Linked DNA regions of Lepisosteus oculatus. The main gene of each other region encodes a partner of the protein of the gene in region 2 in a complex. Links are inferred from orthologs where the notes say so. Each region holds a gene or a part of one and is shown on either strand. Other genes may lie near its edges.

Region 1 (10,416 bases), about 23 Mb from region 2:
ATTACTCTTCCAGTTCTATTTTCCAACAGGGAATTAAGGAACAAAATCCAACTTTCCACTCCAGTGCATAAACTTGAACACAGAAGAACGACTTGATAGAATTCAGTGATTGTAACCATCCACAGGAAAGGTAGCTACTACATTTTACGTTTTAGACTTTTTCCTTATACTTTGCCACTGTTGTGAATGGCCATCTGATTCCAATATTTTTCCTTGACAATCAGAACCACAATGTCTACCGCTATTGAGAGGTCCAGGAGATTCCCTTGATAGCAAGGAAAACGGAGCAAAGTTGAACAGTCTAGACTGAGAAGCCCCTTCCCAGCTGCAGCCCCCAACGCCATGCCCACTCCCACGCTGTGTGTGATGCCCTGGCATGTTTTGACTGTGTGGTATGCAATATTTTCGTGGCTTGGCAGGGGAATCAGGGGCTGAGTCAAGCTCAGACGCCTCAGTTTCTCTTTTACGTGATGGCAGACTGCACTCAAATAACCCAGGTAAGTGTGCATCGTTGTCATGGAAACATTCCATTAATGGCAGGACTTCACTGTTTTCTGAGTGGGTGGGAAAGCGCCAAGGGCCAAAAACAGTCTGTGGTTGGAGAAGGACTAGGAACCGTCTCCTGTGTTCAACCACTCCTAATGGGCTTTCTGCTCCAAACACTTTCTTGCGATTTGTTAGGAGCGCCTTGGTGAAGCACCTGTCAACGTCTGTTTGACTGCCTTGAGATGCATCCCTACTTGGCATGCAAGACTGTCTGAAATCCAGTCCAAAAGATGGCAGCCAGTTACTGTATATCATGTTTTATAGCTCAAGGCTTTATTGTTTTTGTTGTTTATTGCTCTTAGTCAGTGACAAGGTGCGCTATCATTTGTTTACATGACTCAGTAGTTGAGATCCGGACTGTGCGCTTCCTGGAAAAAAAAGAGGTTTACGTCCATGTGTACAATGTACTTTGGTGCTTTGCCATTCTGGAAACCACAGCGATACGAGACACTCATGTTTGCACTGGAAGGCATGCATAAACAAGGGGTCAAACGGTCTGATAGAAACTGAGCAATGGTGAATAATTGTTTAGATGTTATGTTCTGTACACTATATCTCTATAGCTGCCTGAGTTTGAACACCAAAGACAATAAGAGTTAGCAAGAGAGCTTCCAAAGTACGCAACCTACAGAACGTTCAACATCCTGCTACTTTTTTGGTGTCCTGCCTCCCTGAAATTGCTGCAGTAATGTTACCTACTGTCCAAAATTAATATTTAGAAGGCTCGCATTAGATGTATTTGTGAGGTACATGATGTATTTGTAAGGTTTTCAAACTTTTTAAAGTGATGACCCCCTAATGATGACCCTCCTAATGTAAAGTATAATGTTGGGTACTAAGAAAGGAGAGACATCCTAGTTCTCTTCTACAACTTGTAGAACTGTAAAAATAAAAATGTTAAAACAACTTTGATAACTGTAATTTAATCTTTAAAACTAACAAAATGGCAACTCACCTGAACACAATACTTGAAAACATTGTCTTACAGTATCTTCCAGGATGATATAATTTTAGGGTGTACATCCCTGAAGCAGAAATGATCATTCTTCACTTAAATTAAAAATGAACATATGGTATTAACCTAAAATCCATGGTGTTTTACTTTTTATCTCTCAATTTACAGTAAATTTAAGACCACTCACTTAATCAGGAATCTTTACTCTCTGTGCGTGCACATTGCTACGATTATGAAACAGACAAACGTGGAAAAAGAAGCAGATTGTTTAAGTCTCTGCTATTTCGTCAACAGGATCATAGCATATCGTATTTGTCTGCTTTAATGCTTCCTGTTGATAAGCACTAAAATGTGTGCAGAGTTGTCGCTACCATTGCACAACTTTGTATGTATTCCAAACAGCCGTGCAGATCAGATGAGGACTGCTTTGGCTGTCCTTAAACATTGCACAGAAAGTGGCTCGGGTCACAGCTCATTCACCTCCGGTATTTTCCATGTGTGGAACTCCTGAGATTCCTCCGACTCTTAAAAAGAAGCTGGTCTTTTTGAATGAGCTTTGATTTGACAAAAGTGTGCCACACTCACAGGTTCAAATCTCTGTACTGTACTCTCATACACACTGGCATCATCAGTGTTCCAAATAAGTTCCAAAAGTAAAAATATCAAATTTTACACAGCAGGATATTTATAATAAATACAATTTATAAGAAATACAAACAATTCATATGTGATACATTTGTGCAAGGCTTTAGATATTCTGACATTTCAATGCATTTCTTCTTGGTAGAAATGAGTTTATATGTTATACATCTGTATATTTTTTTATGATGATACTGCATTATCACCCTTTTTACTGGAAGTACTAAAAGCCTAACCTAGTTAGCAGTGGGTGTCTATCAGACGCCCACAACATCTCTGATCGATTTGGGGGTTTTGGTATTGCTACACAGAACCAAAGACACTGTACCTAATGAGCCATTTAAGCAGCCTGAGTTTCAGGGTGTGGGAGGGGAAAGACAGTGTAGGAGTAGGACAAGATGACAAACTCAATCACCGGATCTGAAAAGCAAGTGAGCTTTATCAAAGCAAGAAAGTGTTTACCTCACTACAGCTTTGACTGCATCTGAAACCCAGCTTATCTCCTCCCTTCAGAAACACAGCAAGGTGTTGTTTCCTTCCTTATTTTAAATTAAGCCGTTTTTTTGTGATATAAAATAAAACCAAGAAAAGAAGAAGATTTTTTATTAAATCAAATGTCATCAATTCCGAGGGAGGATTAATTCCAAAGTAGGCAAACCCTGCAAAAAGCTGTAATTTTCACACAGTTTCTGGGTCTTCAAAACACACTTTCGTAATCTTTTTGTGCAAAAAAGGCAGACATTTCCTTGCTGATTTTTACCCACAACATCCAACTTTTTATATAGTTTTATTGCAAGAAACGTCTCCTAAAAATGCATTAAAAAATCAAGCGTTTACTTTCAGCGTTTACTTTCCGGATTTCATATGAAAATAGTTTGGTGTTTTATTTACAGAATTCGAAACATATCCTTGACACCCTACATAGCCCTTCTTAAAAGGCAGTCTGCCGCACGTTGTCGTCAACCTCGGTCACGGCGTTTAAAAACAAGGACAAGATCATTTGTACAGCAGTGCATGGCCTCCAAATCCAAAACCACAATAGCTTCTGTCACGGTTTATAAAGAAAATCACATTTCATACAGATATTTTAACACATGACCAGGAAATCCCAGCAGCCTCGACAGGGTAGTTTCACCTGTTGAGCGTTTGCCAGGCAAAACGAGTGTGTTGCGAGACTCGGTCGCGGCCCGTCACGTTTGAGTCTTCTTCAGGTACTCCTTTCTCCCTCCCCGGTCCCCACCGAAGTTCCTGACCCGGTGGATTTTCTCCAGCTGCTGCTCGATAGTCTTCATGATGTTCACTTCGTCCGGCAGGTGGACGTACCGGACATTCCGCCCCGTGACGAAGAAGTCGTCCAGCCGCCGCAGGCCGCCCCGTCGGTCCTTGTACACGACCTCCTCCAGGCGGACGTTCATGAACGCGTCCACGTTGACCACGCGGCCCCGGACCACGCTCTCGTCCCGGAGGTCCACCGTGGTGACGCAGCCGTGCAGCCCCTGCAGCAGGACCACCAGGCTGTTCTCGGCGATGGTGCGCTCCCTGATCGAATGGGACACCGCCATCGTGCTCTGTACGAACGAGTGACAGGTTTTTTTTTTAAAGGAGGGCAGAAGTATCCCCCCCCCACCCCCGGAGAATCCTAAAGAAACGCAGTTTAAACTGTACCAATAAAGTGATGTGCGTGCTGCATATTAAATGTCTCTACTGGTAGTAAGCCAGGAGCAAACTAGTTCAGGAGATCACTTGAGTCAAAGGTTCTTTAAAACACCATGCTTACAATTTGAATGCACAGGAACAGGTTTTTTTTTTTACCTTAGTAGCTTGTATGGCTTTATTCCATGCTGAAAAGAAGAGAGACGCAACGTTTCGGGCTGTGGAGTCTTCTTCTTTTCAGCGTGGAATAAACCTTTACCTGTTCCCTTTGCAGCCTGCGCATGCTACTCGAACGTCTTAAAATTTGAATATCGGGACGCGGGTTTTGGTTATCATTGACAGACAAAAAAACCCAAACACATGCACGTTTTCATTTTTAAAACGTAAAAATATGCTTTGCAAAATGCCTTGAAACATTCACGAGGTCGCGGAAATGATTGCTTGACCTAGTTCAGTAAGTTTACTTCAACAGTCTAATCATCTCGGTTATATAGTATTTGCAGTTCTATTTTCAAACTAGTTTCACTACTGCATTACGTCGTTCTCGAAGTCGCCCTGCGCCAATTAACCAAGCGAATCATAAAATCTGCCCACAAGGAAATTATACAATTAAAACCCAAACTTATTTACCTTGCATGTGTCTTTCTAGCACACTGATGATGTCAAAGAAGGCTCCTTCATTAGACGTCACGCCTCTGAAAAAAGATTTATGCAGTCATACCCCCCTCTAGCGGTGGTTTACTGCAAATACTTTGGAGTTTGTGCTGAAAAGTGGATTGCTTGTCACCTGTTATGCTGAAAACAGCATCTGTTTAGGATCCTAAGCCAATTCGAAAACAGAACATTAAGTCATGAATGTATGTTTATTGAACATCTCGATATAACTTAACAAAAAATAACTCACTGTACTAATCACAGTAGAGTCATTGAAATAAACATAAATAGCAATTGCACAGGTAATAAATGATTGTTTAGTTAAGCAGATTTACTTACCTTCTTTAAAACAAGATTCAAACAGAACATAGGTATTCTCAGGGCCTCATCAAAAAACAGAAAAAAAAACGTTTTTCCCTATAAAAATCATTTGATCATCAGAAGGATACACTGATGTTTTCACTGTGTTATGAAAGTCTAAAAATAAAAGTCTACAAGACACATTAAAATGTTTAGAATGCCTTATATCTTCTATTTCTTATATCTGAGCAACAGTCCAAGATTTGCTCATTGTAGTAGTCACATTCCACTTGTTTATTTTCTAGCTCCAAGATGTATACTTAACTTTAAAATCTTAAAAATCCAGTGTTAGATACGATTAAATCATTTTGGACCCATTCCTTTGGATGATAAAGACAAGTGCTTGTGTTCTTTGCTGAGTTCCCCTTTTCTACAACACATTCACTGAAATAACAAAACCTATAGACATGAAAACAAGAGAGTATACATACAGAGGCATCTTTACACAGACTTCTTAAATCTTGCCAGGAATCTTAGAAATACTATCTCATCAAGTAGAAAAAATAAAGTTCCTATGAAGCAATAGTATTTCTGTTCACAACAAAAAATAACAACATATATATAATGTTTCGGCCGTGAAGCCTTCTTCAGGTGTCAGGTATATATATTCCCTTTGCAAAATAAATCTCTTTACATCAGTGATATGAAATTTTCACAATGTAATATCATACCCACTGAATATACAATATAGCTATTCACTTGCTTCAATGTCTTCTTTCCAGCCACCACAGTGACTGAGACAAGTACTTTACAGGTTAAACAGCTGACCTGACATTAAAATAATAGGGTCCCACCAAAAAGAATTACCCATTACTGGCATGATCTACTGAGTAATGCCCTCACTAGAAATTTCATGATTGCTCATCCGTGTAAAAAAAAAAAAAAGACAAAAAGACTGTTATGAAGAAGATACTTTAAAATCACAACAGACCCAACTAAAACAAGCAGGTCTCGGCAGCAGATGGAAAAGAAGGCAAAGTTTTATTAAACTGTACAGATGGATTCAGCCTGCAACAAAGTTGAGACGGCACAGTGTCTTACAAAGTTCTAAATACAGTATCTACATTTGTAATTACTTACATTCATATGTGTTCGCCAGTAGGAAAAGGCTTATAATGGAGTTAATTTTACGGAATAACAAGTTCCATAGTTTCTATTTTCTATTGGTTTTATTACATATGTTGCTACTTATTGTTTTATAGCTCATGAAAACTTTCCTGACCCTGACGTGAACCACAGCAGTTGGATATACAGCTGCACGACATGCTGATTCGTTTTCAATGTTCACCAAAACCAGTCAAAAGGGCTCATGGACTGGCTTTCCCGGGTCTCGTTAGTCAGAATACTCTGATCTACGCTACTGAGTGAAACCATTTTAAATAAACAAAAGACTTGACAATCTAAACTGAAACTGGCACGCTCCTACGTCTCTCACCGTGTGAATCGGAGTCTTCCCCAAAGTGAACTGATTTATCCAATCAGGGAACATCTCAACCCCTTCCTGGAAACCACACCGAGAGGGGCTGAATATTTGTTTCAAGTGGCTCATGGTTGCTGGGTTTCATCTTACAACTCCTGCACACTACTCTTTCTCCCCCCGTCACCTTTCCCACGAGAGTACAAAAAAAATCCTATTATGAAAATGACGAACAAAACGCCCTTATACTCGTAGTCTGAATGACTTCTTCACATTTTTGGTACCAGGCTAGCAGCAAGTCATGTCTGCACAGTGAAAATAAAAGTTTGGTGATTGCAAGATCCCTCTAGTCTTCCTGTCCCAGCAGCCTCCGGGAAATGTCACAGGCCATCCATCATGGCCAGCAGGTTGTCCCCCTTGCTGCCCGGGCTCTGGGCCGGTCCTGGCTCTTCCGCGAACTCCCCCATGATACGAGCCAGCTCTGCGTTCGCATGCTGGTCCTGACATTGACAGACATCGTCACCGACAGGGAACCACAGCACAATCACAGAACAAGAAGGCTGATTAATCTTGATTAACTTTGTTTTTCTTTAGCTCAGAACATGAAACATCAAGAACATTTGCAGCCTTAATTCTATGGAATTACCATACTGCAGGAAGTCTCTCTCCAAAACCAATTCATAATTGGTCTCCCTGTGGTCTTTTACTTCTAGATTACTTGTTTTTGGGTATGAAATGTAATACAATAAAAACTGCTAATTTTTGACTCCTTTGATTTTTTAGTTAACTACATTAATAGTACCCATTTTACAACAGAATTTGCTTAACCAGTGTTTTCCAGATTCACTCTCCCCATGCTTGTCTTAGGGCAAAGCGTTGGCCTTATGTTTGGATAAGAAAGTAGTATAGTTTTGACTCCAGTTCTAACTTCTGTTCAATTTGCATGTTGTTAAAAAATTTAAAAAGCCAACTTGAAGTGTAATAAATGCTATTCTTACCTTTGTAGCTTGTATGTTTATAACCTGGTATGAAAGTTCTGGAGGCCTTGATATCAAAGCTTCCCTGTGAAAAAGTAAAATAGTAAAAACAGAGTGGTTTCATAAGACATATAAATTCAACACACATTTCTCACAATCCAACACACATCAGTTACAAAATATAAACAAAATACTAACTTGCACCTTCATCTATACAAAATGAGTTTCTATCTCAAGACATCTCAAAGTTTTGTTTTAGTTTTTAATGTAAATGTGAAGGAATTAATATATTTGGGTGATCGGGGATTATAAAAACAGAAAAATCAGAAAACATACTCTTCTTCCTCGTCTGTTGTGAACAAGTTGACCCGAAACCCTCCATCAGTATTTGCAGGCTTCTTGACTTCCAGACCTCCCATTAATCTGGCCAGCAGGTTCAGCTCTTCTTTTGCAAGAGGATTAGGGGCAGCATTTTCCTGGGGGATCAAACGTTTTAGTTTCAGAAACAGAGATATTCCCAACAACAGGCAGTTCACCTTTCATTTGGAGTTTCACTTTTTTAATTTGTACTCTATCTTACTGACGAGCTCCGGAATTACTTTAAAGCAGCCATATCACCCTGCAACCGATAACTCACTGAAACTAAGCAGGTGTGAGTCTAGAAGGGAGACTCCCTGGAGAAAAACTAAGGTTGCTGCTGGAAGTGGTGTCAGTGGGACCAGTAGGGGGCGCTCCTAATGCCCCAGTATAGTGTTGGGGACACTATATTGTAAAAAGGCCTCGTCCTTCGACTTAAATCCAAGGTCCTGACTCTCTGTGGCCACTAAAAATCCCAGGGTGTTTCTCGAAAAGAGTAGGGCTGTTACCCAGAACCCCAGCGTCCTGGCTAAATTTCCGATTGGCCTTTACCATCAGTACGCCTCTCCCCCAATCAGCACTAATTCTCTTGCTAGGCTTGGTGGAGCTTGTACAGCCTGTAGCATGTCAAAAGAATGTCAGTGATAGGTTTTTTAAAACAAAATAACTAATAGTGGAGTTTCGGAGACACAGGCCGCAGACTCACAGCCCACTCAGTATTGATGGAACCACCAGCTTTAGGTTTTTGGGAATTCACATTTCTAATGATCTAACCTGGACTGTGAACATGGACATTATCTTGAAGAAAGGCTCAGCAGCACTTCTATTTTCTGAGGTGCCTCAAGCGATGGGGGATGCCACTACCTGTGTTGGTGAACTTCTACCGCTGCACCATCAAGAGCATCCTCATTAATGGGATCACCGTGTGGTACAGCAACACCTCTTCTCTCGAGAGAAAAGCACTGCAGAGAACAGTGAATGTGGCCCAGAAGATCACCGGCCGTGGTCTCACAGAGATTAAACAGCACTATGAGGACCGCTGCTATGGTAGAATTCTGGCCATCACAGAGGCCAGTCACCACCCCGGACATGAGCTCTTCACCCCACTGCCCTCAGTCAAGAGATATAAGAGCATATGGACACTTACCACCAGATTCCTCAAAAGCCCACAAGCAGCGCGACTGGCGAACACATTTGGCCATGCCCTTCGGACCACACCTACACCATCTACCTCATTGTAATTTTATTTATTGCACATCTGCAGTCATTGTTTACATTTGAACTGTTTACTTGTCGACTTGTACAGTGTCTACTTTTTGTTTGTATATTGCCTTGATGCACTTTTTTTTAACAATCGAGAGACTTTCTGTAAGTAAGAATTCCATTGTACCAGTACTGGCAATAAGGCTCAAGTTCAAGTGTTGAAGGTGTACATCTGCAGATCATCAGGGCAATTCTGTAGATACAGATAGCCACAATCTGAATTTCAAGCAATTGCCAATTCCAGATTACGAAAAGGATCGACACTTGACAAGTTTATTTCCATTGATTTGATAATGTCTGGGCATTTCCAAGAATAAATTTGCAAAAAATTAAGTTTGGAAAGAGCATGTCAGCCATTCCACAGTTAGAAGTACTTTCTGTTTCTGTTAGGACACCCTCTGAATTAACATTTGCTGGAAATACATTGGAAAAAGACATCAGGTCCGGACCTGTGTGCTCTGTCATCTCACCTTGGTGTGCGACACAGAGCTTTTGGATGTTCCTGACATGTGTGTTTCCACAGGGCGGCTTACACTATACCTGTAATACAAGATGCAGCATAAACATTTTCAAAACCACTAGCAAGTAACATCATGTTACACTGCGGGCTGGAATGAAACATCAATCATCCAAAGGCAATCAGGCACTTCATTTCTTCTAGCTGTATCTGTAAATGAGCCTGGTGTGTCAAGGCTCATTTTTATTACATCCCTGTTTAATTATTACTGAGTTTTAATTTGAGTAGTAAATGTAGTAATGATACTTACATGTTGGTGCCCAGTTTAATTACTCTTTCACCATAAAGGTCAAAAGATCCTTCCCGCAGAGGACTTGTATAATTTCCTCCGCTAGGGAACTCTAAGCTTTTCACTTCTTCACCACTGCCATTGAATATTCTAAGAAAGAAATCACAAAAACAAACCTCGCACTTAGACTATTACTAATCTTAATGATAAAAAAGTGTGTTGTAAGTCAAAACAAACACTTTAATTAACCGCAAAGAATACTGTCTAATCCAATCAGGAAAACAAAGTCTACAAACACAAAGATAAATTATGTAGCTCAAAGATTTTCAAAACTATTATACAGTATATAACAGAGGAATATCAATTAATCCTTAGCCATTAATCCTTCAGATATTCACATGGTTTAAGATCTTCATTTAGAACATTAAGGAGTAACGTAACCTACTGCAGGGTATTGTCAATGAATACACTACCTGATGAGCCCTGGAAGTTCAGTTCCCCAAGGAACAGGCCCAGATGTAGGCAGCACAAACCGGCCATTGGAATTCTGTACTTTGTCTTTTAAAAAAATGGACACCTGCAGACATAAAAAAATTCAGCATATTTTTTTGTTTGTTTGCACTTACTAACAGAGCGCACATTTCTTTGGTGTGGATGTACTGGATATAATAATTTAATTGGTTACCAAGATCCCCATTAAGTCAGGTGTGAAAGCTGGGCTACTAACCTTCAGTTGAACAAAGACTTTGCATAAGCTTGATTTTTTATCAAGCACCAAATTGACCAATATCATGATTTTAGATTTTTTTAAATAAATGATTAATGATTTTTAATCATTAACAACCCATT
Region 2 (11,257 bases):
TGGCTTCTTTCAAGAAACAGTTGGATAAGTTCCTTGGATCAATTACCAGAGAGGCCAAAAGATCTCCTCTCTTGGTTGTGACCATACTAACGTTCTTGAATCTGCTTCAGTCGCCCACAGCACAGGCCCTTGGGAATTCTGATAGTGCTGTTGGTTTAAAGAAACCGAGTCTTGCCGCCAGCACAAGACGTGGGCACTGGAAAATCCTAATTTCTGTTGTTAAATCCAGGGGAATCGACGTTATGCGCCGAACACTTCGAGACCTGAAAAAAAAAACAAGCTCAAGCATTCGATGTACTCAAATGGAAAAAGAGAGATGTGGGCTGTGCAATTCGGTTCCTTCTCTCAATCGCTGGAGACGTTTCACCCCCACCCCGCAAAAGTAACCAAAACCCGTTTGAACCGTGTCAGATCTGCAGAACGGAGGCTGCAGATGGAGCCCCTGCGCCCTTGCTCTCGCTTTATTTCCTGCTGGACGCCGGCAGGCCAGGGGACGCGGGTGGGCCCCACCACACAGCGAGGGACAGAGGCCTGCTCGGACCTGCAGGACCTGGGGCGACAGCGCTCCGCCCCCGGGCAGACGCCACGGCCACTCTCGCAGGTCACACCGTGCCCCCAGAGGGGGAGAGGAACGCCATCTGGCAGGACAGAGGCCTCCCCGGGGCACACTCTCCTGCCGCCAGGCCGGACGAGAGACGACAGGGGGCCCGGAGGCAATCTTCCACAGGTACTGCCCCCCCCTGCTCGGAGCTCTCACAGGACCTGTCATTCTCCTGGCTTATCTCAAGAAACGCAAAGGGGCCCTCGAGTTCAATTTGGTCACTTTTGTAAGCGTTCCTTGGCTCCCCAAGGCGGAGCTGACGTGACCTCCAGAAATCATCTGGTGGAGATCAGCCGGGCTCACTCACTCCTGAGGCACACCAACGCCCCTCGACTGGCCAGAGGTTTTGGTTTTATGGGCAGTGAAATGAATCTTGGAACTTGCTCGGCTTCTTCGGAGACGTGCAGTACATCAAAACAACCCCCCATCCCGACCTGGGGCGGGATCGCTCCTGTCCTGTGCGTGGCAGTTTTCGATTAGCTACTGGAGAGGGCCTGAATGAAACAGCTCATCTGACCTCTTATTATTATTATTAATTAATGAGCTCAATTAAGTAATTAAGAACAGAGGGGGGAACGAAAACCTGAGAACTGGCTCTCCAAGGACTGGGGTAGCTCATCCTGAAACTACCCTCTCTTTAATAAAAACTCACCAGTTTTATCACGCTGAATAAACTACTTACGGTATACGCGCATAGCTGACATCCTATAGCGAATTTTGAAAAAAAACGACACTTTTTGGGGGCTTGAAGCAAGCTAGCACTCTTAAAAAAAGGAATTTGCGTAGAAAATAGAAAAGTCAGTACCTCGCTCCCTCTGCTGGCTGACAGCACTAACTGCAGGGAGCTCAGCGGGGGGCGTGAAAGGGCTTCTTCATTAAAAAGCTAGTGCGTCTGGAACAGACAAGAAAAACGAATTCGGATCAAATCTCCCCACCCTGGGTAAATGATAATTACATGGGAATCACCACTAAAACGTTTATGAGACAATAATCTACTGGCTTGGCCTCATTCAAATAATTCTTAGATATTCATCTAGTTTTCACCATTTTATTTAACCCTTATATACCAATAGCAATTTTTAAAACCTTCATAACCGGAAGCATTAAGGGTAGAAAGACATTTTATTATAATACCCCAGGTTTCTTCAAAAAAATCCGTAAATATCTTCACACATTTTTTTTATTTTTAGCACTTTGCTTTGTTGCTGCATGTCATTTTATTTTCTTTAATTTCTCATTGCCGTGTGGTGCCACTTCAGGCAACGCGTGAACGTTCTTTTCTCCTCCGTGAGAAAGTCAGAAACGGAACTCCACAGAATAGCAGCACGGCGGCGCGTTTCGCCGTGCGTGGACCAGGCCGATGTGCGAGAGAAGGGCGCCGCTCTGCTCCGCCCCGGTGTCCCGCCCCCGTCCAGGAGCGACGTACTGCTCCCGACTCGGGAGGCTAGCTGTTCGGCCAGCGCCGCTGAAAACACTGGGTGCCGCAATCTGCCTATAAATCCGTTTAATGTAGGTGTTAAACGTCATAAAACACCATTTGATTCGGTTTTCCGGTGACCTGACGTTCTCTTTATACCTACTGTTCTAAATTGACAAGCAGTATATTTTCTCCCCGGATGAAGAGCTGGTTGACGTGCCTTCTGTGCACATGCTGGTAGTCCACTCTGGGCTTGGGCTGTCTTCCCCCGCCCTGTGTCCCGCTCTCTGGTTCAGTCCGCGGACCCGGAGCCGTGTCCTGCGCTCCTCCCAGTCCCGGCCCCTCCCTCTCCTTGCCGGGTCCGCCACACGCCTTCTTCCTCGGCGACCCGCGCAGCTGGCGGGCCGGCGTGTGCTCCTCAGCCGGCGGGGGCTCGCCGGCGGTCCTGGACTCCCGCGTCCTCGGCGGGTCCCCTCCGCTCCTTTCCTCCGGCGCCCCGAAATCCGGGGATTCCTGCAGCTTCAGCCTGTCGAACAGCTGCAGGACACGGACATGGGCGACATGATCACATATCGCTAAGCAAAGCCGTCTCCGGCTGGCGCTACCCCCCTGAACCGTGCCAGCAAGAGGGGAGAGAGAGCTCCCTGTCACTAAATCTCACAGGACACTGGCGAGACTCCCACTGCGCAGCAGTTAGATCCACTTGGTTAACACTGCATTCAATCTGGACCTGGGGTGCTATCTGTGTGGAGTTTGCATGTTTTCGCCACGTCAAACAGCTGGAGGACACAGAAATGGGCGACATGATCATTTGATTTCACTGTATTGATGTGCATTTGATAAACATGAACTTGATAAAATACCGCAAAGCCATCTCAGGCTGGTGTTACACCCTGAACTGTGCAAGCAAGAGGAGAGAGAGCTCCCTGTCACTAAATCTCAAAGGAAACTGGTGAGACTCCCACTGCACAGCAGTTAGATTCGCCCCTGGATCTGACTGTGCACTGCCGGATCTTAAATACCACAACCTGAATATCTCAAGCTTGCTACATTACTTACAACTGCATAGGTAAATGTACACGTTTTCAAGAATACACCTGTTGAGGGGGGCTCAGACAGTAAGGGCCCGAGGCAGACTGGCTGGGATCGGGATTCCCCAAGCCACAGTGTGCAACTGTCTGAGCTCCGCTGAGCGCTGGGTGGGAGCAGGCATCAGGCCTCTCTCTCACCCTCCTGGGGCCAAGCAGGCAAGTAGTGCTGTTGGAGAGGGAAGCGCCTCTCCTCCAATCAAAGCTGATCATGCAGTCCGGGGGTGGTGCTGCAGGTGACGTATTAAAAGACGATTGGCTCAGAAGTGAGTGGGCCAGAGGAGTCTGCCTGCACTTCCTCTTTCTCCCCTGTGTGCGGTTACAGGGTTCGTAGCTGTGGGTTGTGTGAACACACACACGAGTGGCAACTCTAAGTCGGGTGGGTAGAAGAAAAATAATATGTGATTCTAAAAAAAACTACCAGCTTTGAAGGCTAGCATGGTGGCACAGTGATTAACACTGCTGCTACCTGCTACCTGGGGTGCTATCTGTGTGGAGTTTGCATGTTCTCATAACGATTGCATAAGTTTCTTTATGATGTTCTGTTTTCCTCCCACAGTACAAAGACGTACTGGTAGGTTAACTGCCCACATGTTTGTGTCTGTATGTGCCCTGTGAAGGACTGGCGTCCCATCCAGGGTGTACCCTGCTTAGCACCCGTTGCATGCTGGGATAGGCTCCGGCTACCCTGCAACCCTGAATTGAATTAAAGGTTTAGAGAAGGGATGGATGGGAGCAGGCTTGTTTGCCTGGACGCCACGGTTGGCCGTACCCACCCTGGTGACAGTCAGAGCACGCTCGTGGTGAAAGGCCTCCCCCAGCAGGGGCTTCCTGTAGGTCTCGTCAACGTCCACCAGAGCCTGAAACAGCAGAGGGGAGGGGCAGGCCAAAAGACAGCTCAGAAGACAGACAGCTCCACAGCTCGCCAAAGCACACATTCCAACGGGCTCTGCAGAACGCCAGCAAACAGCGGCTAAAATCCAGACGTTACGCTCACAAAGAAGCAGGCTGGGTGTCCTGCACGCACTGTGACCTCACTGTGAGGTGAAACACACACTGCGTGGACTCTGCATTTCTTAATTTTGTCCTCAATCTTTTGGCTTTTGGTTGATGCACCAAAAATGTTGTTAAAAGTGCAAAACAAGGGGAACAACTATTAGGCGGAAAACAAGGCTGAGAAGAGCCTTTTAACCAAGGAGGGCAGAAGGACAAGAAAACTACAGCACAAGACTGAACAAGGCACAGTGTTTTTCTTTGAATACTGTATACTGGAATGTTCCAGTCTAAGCTTTTTCACTAGAGCAGCTGCTGGCCAGTTTACTACTTTGAAGAGGCAACCTGCTACTGTTATACAAGAAATCGGAGCCAGGAACCTAAAGCCACAGGCAAAATTTCCTGTATAACTATAGCACTCGGACAATGGGAAGGGAGGTACCATGTTCCAGAACTTGTCAAAGGCCACCAGGAACCCACTGCAGACTCCTCTCAGCCCTTTGAAAGTGCGGATGTGAACTTTGACCCGGATCTTCTCCTGGACACAGCGGTACAGCTCTCCCAGGGGGCTCCCAGCGTGAACTGACGAGGCAAACGGCATAGCAGTGAGATTACCACAAGGCAAGGCACACTGTAATACCATCCCTGATAATACATTAAGCCAAACACAGCTGTATCATCTGAGAATTTGAAAATGCTGCTGCTTTGACTACTGCTTGTACAATCATTTGGGCAAAGTTTCATCATTTGCATTAAACCTACAACGATTTTTACGTGACGGGTGTAGGTAGAGTCAAGTGTGTGCAGACCGTACAGGCGTTACAGTTTTTGCTTACCGGCCATTCTGGTTAGAACATTTTTGGGAGCCCTAGTTTTTCTTGGCGGTCTCTGGCGGCCCCCAGCTCCCTCCTCCGTCGGTGCATTCACCATCAACTTTTTTAGCCTCTCGATCCTCTCTGGGTCCGGGACGCCTTTCTTGGCTTTCCTGTTTTTTTTCGCCACGTTCTGCGGCTTCGCTCTGCCGCTGCCCCCTCTGAGAAAACTTTCATACTGAGCGATGTTGTTGAAGCACTTCACATTGGGGTACGGCAGCGAGATTTCGGGACAGTAAAGCGCCAACAACGGATCAAACTTATCCGAGCTGACATCCAGCTTAACTTTCAGGTCATCTTCGGGCTCTTCGCTCTGCTCCTCGTCTGGGTCCCGAAGCGAACTGGGGTTCATAATATCACCGCGCTTTTCAGTTGCAGAGCATCTGTCCGTCACTTTCCGTTCACTCTCCTCCATGTTTGAAAGACCCGCAGCTGTGCGTCATGGGATATGTAGTCCAAGGAGTTTGTAGAACTGCTTCCTGATTGCCGCTAGAGGGAGTATCAGCCCACAAGTTGCTGGGTTTTTTTTTGCTACGACAGTTTTTGTGTTCATTATGCGATTTATGTTTTCGTTTATATTTTTTTTTAATAATCACCGACACAAATGCGTTCGTTTCAAGTTGTTACGACTTTTTTCTGGAAATTGCAATAGGCGTTTCTCTCTCACTCGCCTGAGTTCACAGATAGGAACCAAAATGTAGCTTTATGATGCAGTTGGATACTCTAAATGTAGTACCGCACTTTAAAGCTGGAATTTATTGTAGGGGTGATCGTGTAATTATACATACCGTTTGCAAAAACCAAAACAATAAAAGTATAAGTTATATCAGTTTTCCACGATAACTATGTATTATAACTACATATTTTTATTTTATATTGCTCTTTCTCCTTAACTACACGCTGGTGTGAAAGTGTACTACGCTTTTTCCCCCTCCGAAATGCAGTATATGGGTCTGGCCTGTACACATGGACTTCACGGTTTCCCTGTACACATTAATTGTACACTACACGAGGTTGTTGAGGTAGCTTGCGTTTATCCGACAGCTTGGGTAAAGTCGCATATGTCAGGAGGAATGGGTAAGGGTTGTTAAAATGTGTTATACGCTTAGCACCTAGTTACGTGCATTTTCAACCAGTCTTGTGTTCCTTCTTTATGAGGAAAGGGTTGTTTCTCTCTACTTGTGGTTAATATGCCCTGTTACATATATCTTGCGGAAAAAAAACAAACATCTATTACACTGCTATCATGTAGCTAAACGCTGTGTTAATGTGTCGGTCCCGTACCCATTGATGTGCTGGAAGGCCCTTCGGTTAAGGTCCTCATTATGAATTCCGGTGTTTGTAGTCCCGATGATAAGCATATATTCGAATATGCGTAATTTGCAAAAGCAGCGAGCACATTAATAATCCCTTACACTTCCACTGCGCTGTTCCGGACACTCCACGCAAAGCGCTTTACATTCTTAGAGATATTGAGCCTTAAAGTCAAATCAGTACAGCCCATTATACTGGCCTGTATTTCTAATCTAAATCTCTTTGCCGTTTGCATTAGATAAGTGTTGTGGCAGGTCTTTAAATATCCTAATACAACTTAGAATACAATAACAGAGCTGCTACTTTAATTGGTGTTCAGCGGAATATTAGGTTAATACGGGCACAAAATATGAGGTCGTTTGTACCTGGTGCGTACTATAATAATAATGGAACAAGTAATAGGTTTATTCCATGCTGAAAAGAGAAGAAAGAAAACACGTTGTGGGTTTCTTTCTTCTCTTTTCAGCATGGAATAAACCTATTACTTGTTACTTTGCAGCCTACGCATGCTGACACAGCTACCCACCTGAACTATAATATTATTATTATTATTATTATTATTAAGTCCTTACATTTATATAGCACTTTTCTGGACACTCCACTCAAAGCTGTTTACAGGTAATGGGGACTCCCCTCCACCACCACCAATGTACAGCATCCACCTGGATGATGTGATGGCAGCCATAGTGTGCCAAAATGCTCCCCACACACCAGCTATTAAAAACAGAGTAATGCAGCCAATTCAGAGATGGGGATTATTAGGAGGCCATGATTGGTAAGGGCCAATGGGAAATTTTCCCAGAACGCTGGGGTTACACCCCTACTCTTTTCAAGAAACGCCCTGGGATTTTTAATGACCACAGAGAGTCAGGATCTCGGTTTTACGTCTCATCCGAAGGACGGCATCCGTTTACAGTATAATGTCCCCGTCACTATACTGGGGCATTAGGACCCACACAGACCGCAGGGTGAGCGCCCCCTGCTGGCCCAACTAACACCTCTTCCAGCAGCAACCTTAGTTTTTCCCAGGAGGTCTCCCATCCAGGTACTGACCAGGCTCACACCTGCTGAGCTTCAGCGGGCTTTCAGTTGTGAGTTGCGAGGTGATATAAACTGCACTATCCCAGACTCCCTTGACCAACTTCAGTTGGCCTACCGCCCAAATAGATCAGTGAGTGTGCCATATTGGACCTCAGTTTTACGTCTCATATCGCTATATCGCAGCCTTACAAACCAAGCCCGCGGGTTCTCTGTGTTTGTGTTCTTCCTGCTCACAGGGAGCTGATGTTAGCGGGACCGCGCCTGACTCCGTTCCGCAGAGCCTTCGGATCGTGCCTGGCCAACCGCGCGGCCCACAGAGGCGGTCGGGCCTCCTCTGTCCGCGGCTTCCTCGCCTCGCGCGCCCCCGCCATGGCCAAGAGCAAATTCGAGTACGTCCGCTCCTTCGAGACGGACGACACCTGCCTGAGGAACTGCTACATCGTTGTGCGCTTAGACGGTCGAAACTTCCACAAGTGAGTAGCATTGCAGACCACAACTGCGCTGCTCTCGCAGGAGGTGGTTTCTTGCTTCAGTCAGCTTCTAGGGCACTGCAGGTGATCCCAGGTAATGGTCAGCCGTGAATTATTACAACGCAGACAGCCTTTTGTCATTCACTGGATGGGGATGCCTAATGCATCCAATTGTTAGCTTTTTTTTTCTGAGTGAAGGACTATTTGCTATTAAGTCATGTCATTTACCAAACCACTTAATACCACATGGTGTTGCAGGAAGCCAGAGCCTATCTGGCAAGCAATGAGTGCAAGGCAGGGTACACCCTGGACTGGACGCTAGTCCATTGCAGGGCAAGTGCAAGCCAATCACACATGGGGACAATTTGGTGGCCACGGTAAAGGCCGAGGGGGGAAATTTGGCCCGGACACCGGGATAACTCCCTACTCTTATTGAGAAATGCCCAGGGATCTTTAATGACCACTCAGAGTCAGGACCTCGGTTTTACATCTCATCCGAAAGACAGCGCCCACTACAGTATAGTGTCCCCCCCAACTATACTGGGGCATAAGGACCCACACAGACCGCAGGGTGGTCCCACTAACACCTCTTCCAGCAGCAACCATAGCTTCCCAGGTGGTTTCCCATCCAGGTACTGACCAGGCTCACACCTGCTGAGCTTCATTGGGCTTCCAGTTGAGAGCTGCAGGGTGATATGGTACCGGCGCTTTGCTATTATTTCAAATACAATTCTTAATAAGCAGTGAAATGCGCAGGTGCTTGACACATTCCGATTTTGAATAAAATCTTAAGCACAACGGGTGTAGGTGTCATTAAACTTTAATTCGGCGATAGGACTTAAAATCTTGTTTCTCGTCTCTGAAACCGTGGCACCGCTGTGATTGTGTACCCTTCTGAGAGCTACACAAAGCTGCATGTGCAGAACTTCCTCCTGGCCTTGGCCTCCTGGCAAATCCAGAGGCTGTCTGCGCAGTTGGAAGCTCTCGCCAGCCGAATGGGGCAGAGCAGGAAATTGTGTGGCGGATCTGTGCGTCACCTGTGTGGTCACGGAAGAGAGGGCTGAAAGAGAGCGAGCTGGGCCTGACCCAGAGGGTCTCTTCTCCTTTCTTGTTTGCCGATATTAACGCCCTTCCCCCCCCAGGTTTGCTGAGCAGCACCAGTTCACGAAGCCCAACGACGAGCGCGCGCTGGGCCTGATGACGCGCAGCGCCCACTCGGTCATGGAGGAGCTGGAGGACATCGTCATCGCCTACGGGCAGAGCGACGAGTACAGCTTCGTCTTCAAGAGGTCCTCCCACTGGTTCAAGAGAAGAGCCAGGTGCGGCCCCCAACCTCTTGTTCTCCACCAGGCGCGGGGACGTCACGGGGACAGAGACAGAGGCGTAGGGGAGGTTACTGCCACGGGGACATGTACACTGGAATTCTTATTCACACTGATCTCTTACACACACACACAGTACAGCAGACGACACCACACAATGGAGACAGCACATTGCAAACATGATAAATAATAACAAGAGCGATAAAAACATTGTGAAGAAAAATAAAGATGTGGTAGTGAAAAAAAACACATGGTAGTCCATGCAAAAAGTGCGTAGTGCAGAGGTGCACTGAGTTCTCAGGCACTGCAGTTAGCTGTTAAGGATGCATACTGCAGTAGGGTAGAACCTGTTCTATAGCCTTGTGTTTAAGGCTGAGCTGGAATCTATAAATAGCATCCTAGCATAGGTACCCCACCTGTCCAAATGTTCTAGGGCAGTATGAAGTGCTAGAGATATGGCATCATTCACTGATCTATTTGGGTGGTAAGCCAACTGAAGTGGGTCAAGGGAGTCTGGGATAGTGCAGTTTATATCACCTCGCAACTCACAACTGGCAGCCCGCTGAAGCTCAGCAGGTGTGAGCTTTCCCAGGAGGTCAGTACCTGGATGGGTGACCTCCTGGGAAAAACTAAGGTTGCTGTTGGAAGAGGTGTTAGTGGGGCCAGCAGGGGGCGCTCACCCTGCGGTCTGTGTGGGTCCTAATGCCCCAGTATAGTGACGGGGACATTATACTGTAAACAGATGCCATCCTTCGGATGAGATGTAAAACCGAGATCCTGACTCTCTGTGGTCATTAAAAATCCCAGGGCGTTTCTCGATAAGAGTAGGGGTGTAATCCTGAGTCCTGGGCAAATTTCCCATTGGCCTTTACCAATCATGGCCCTTACCAATCATGGCTTTCCAGTCACTTCATATCACTGAAGTGAGTGCCACTGGGCCGTAATCATTCAAACAAGTTATCTCGGTCTGCTTGGGCAGTGGCACGGTTGTTGTTCTCTTGACGCACTCTGGCACAACTGACAGGGACAGAGAGAGGTTAAAAAGGTCTGTATATACGGGAGAGACCTGACCTGCAAAGGTTTTAAGGACACGAGAGAAGACACCCTCTTAAAGGCTCTACACACCTCCGGAGACCTCTGACCCACTGCAGTGGAAAGAATCTAAAATTACGTTGTGGCAGCCTGCATCCTGTCTCACTAAAACCCACACAGCTATGACCAAGATAGCCTCACTTGTCACCGTTGACTGCCCACAGCACAGGACAAATGTGAAGCCCAGTGCGTCTGTGAGCTTGCCTCTTCTTGCCAAACACACTGTGAATAGCTGTATTTTACATTTTGGTGGGTAACAGAGACCACAAGCGTGCCCATCTTATCTTCTCTTGCCTCTACAGCAAGCTGATGACTCATGTGGCATCGCAGTTCTCCTCTAGCTACGTCTTCTACTGGAAGGACTATTTTGGGGACCAGGAGCTGAAGTATCCCCCTGGCTTTGATGGCAGGGTGGTGCTGTATCCTAGCAACCAGAACCTCAGAGACTACCTCAGCTGGAGACAGGCCGACTGTGAGTGCTCCCAGCGCTTCATTCTCCACCACCAGAGACTCTTTCGACTAAATAAAACATGTGAATGTTTTGTTTTCCATTTGAAAATTTTGCTCTGCAGATGGGTCGGCCCTGCTGTCTCACAGTGCTGGTGCCCTAGGTTCAATCCCTGGGATTGCTGTCTGTGTAGCGTTTGTATGTTCTCCCCAAGTTTGTGTGGGTTTCCTCCCACAGTCAGTAGATAGGCTGGTTCTGGGAAAACTGGCTCTGGTTTGAGTGTGAGTGTGTCCGTGTCCTGTGATGGACTGGTGTCCCATCCAGAGTGTTCCCTTCCCTTGTGCCTGTTGCTCCAGTTCCTCCGCGACGCTGTACTGGGTAAAGTGGAAAGAAGACAGCTCTACAAATGTTCAGCGACTGGAATCTCTTTGCTCTCTTGCTGGATTGTTTCTGTTTCTCACATCCTGAATCTCCGACCACTGTTTTGACTCGCGTGGTGCTCCTGTTTTCCAGGTCATATTAATAACTTGTACAACACGGTGTTTTGGACTTTGGTGCAGAAGGGTGGGCTGACCACATCCCAAGCAGAGGAGAGACTG

Evidence for each region. The genes of interacting proteins can lie anywhere in the genome.
Region 1: lsm11 (region 2) and U7 snRNA-associated Sm-like protein LSm10 share a complex: the UniProt entries of both Homo sapiens proteins name them as parts of the heptameric ring U7 snRNP complex. The link is inferred for Lepisosteus oculatus from reciprocal best matches to the Homo sapiens genes LSM11 and LSM10.

Annotation. Positions count from the first base shown.
Region 1 is NC_090706.1:4,890,369-4,900,784, forward strand, and holds U7 snRNA-associated Sm-like protein LSm10, read right to left. Parts: upstream 4,605-10,416; 5' UTR 4,424-4,604; intron 4,352-4,423; exon of another isoform or gene 4,331-4,351; intron 3,709-4,330; 5' UTR 3,703-3,708; coding exon 3,331-3,702; 3' UTR 2,727-3,330; downstream 1-2,726. Other genes in the region: oscp1b (protein OSCP1), read right to left, coding at 6,605-6,724, 7,223-7,286, 7,538-7,677, 9,292-9,361, 9,589-9,717, 10,041-10,144. UniProt on the Homo sapiens protein: Appears to function in the U7 snRNP complex that is involved in histone 3'-end processing. Increases U7 snRNA levels but not histone 3'-end pre-mRNA processing activity, when overexpressed. Required for cell cycle progression from G1 to S phases.
Region 2 is NC_090706.1:28,076,120-28,087,376, reverse strand, and holds lsm11 (U7 snRNA-associated Sm-like protein LSm11), read right to left. Parts: upstream 5,429-11,257; 5' UTR 5,387-5,428; coding exon 4,936-5,386; intron 4,682-4,935; coding exon 4,542-4,681; intron 3,967-4,541; coding exon 3,883-3,966; intron 2,556-3,882; coding exon 2,178-2,555; 3' UTR 1,764-2,177; downstream 1-1,763. UniProt on the Homo sapiens protein: Component of the U7 snRNP complex that is involved in the histone 3'-end pre-mRNA processing. Increases U7 snRNA levels but not histone 3'-end pre-mRNA processing activity, when overexpressed. Required for cell cycle progression from G1 to S phases.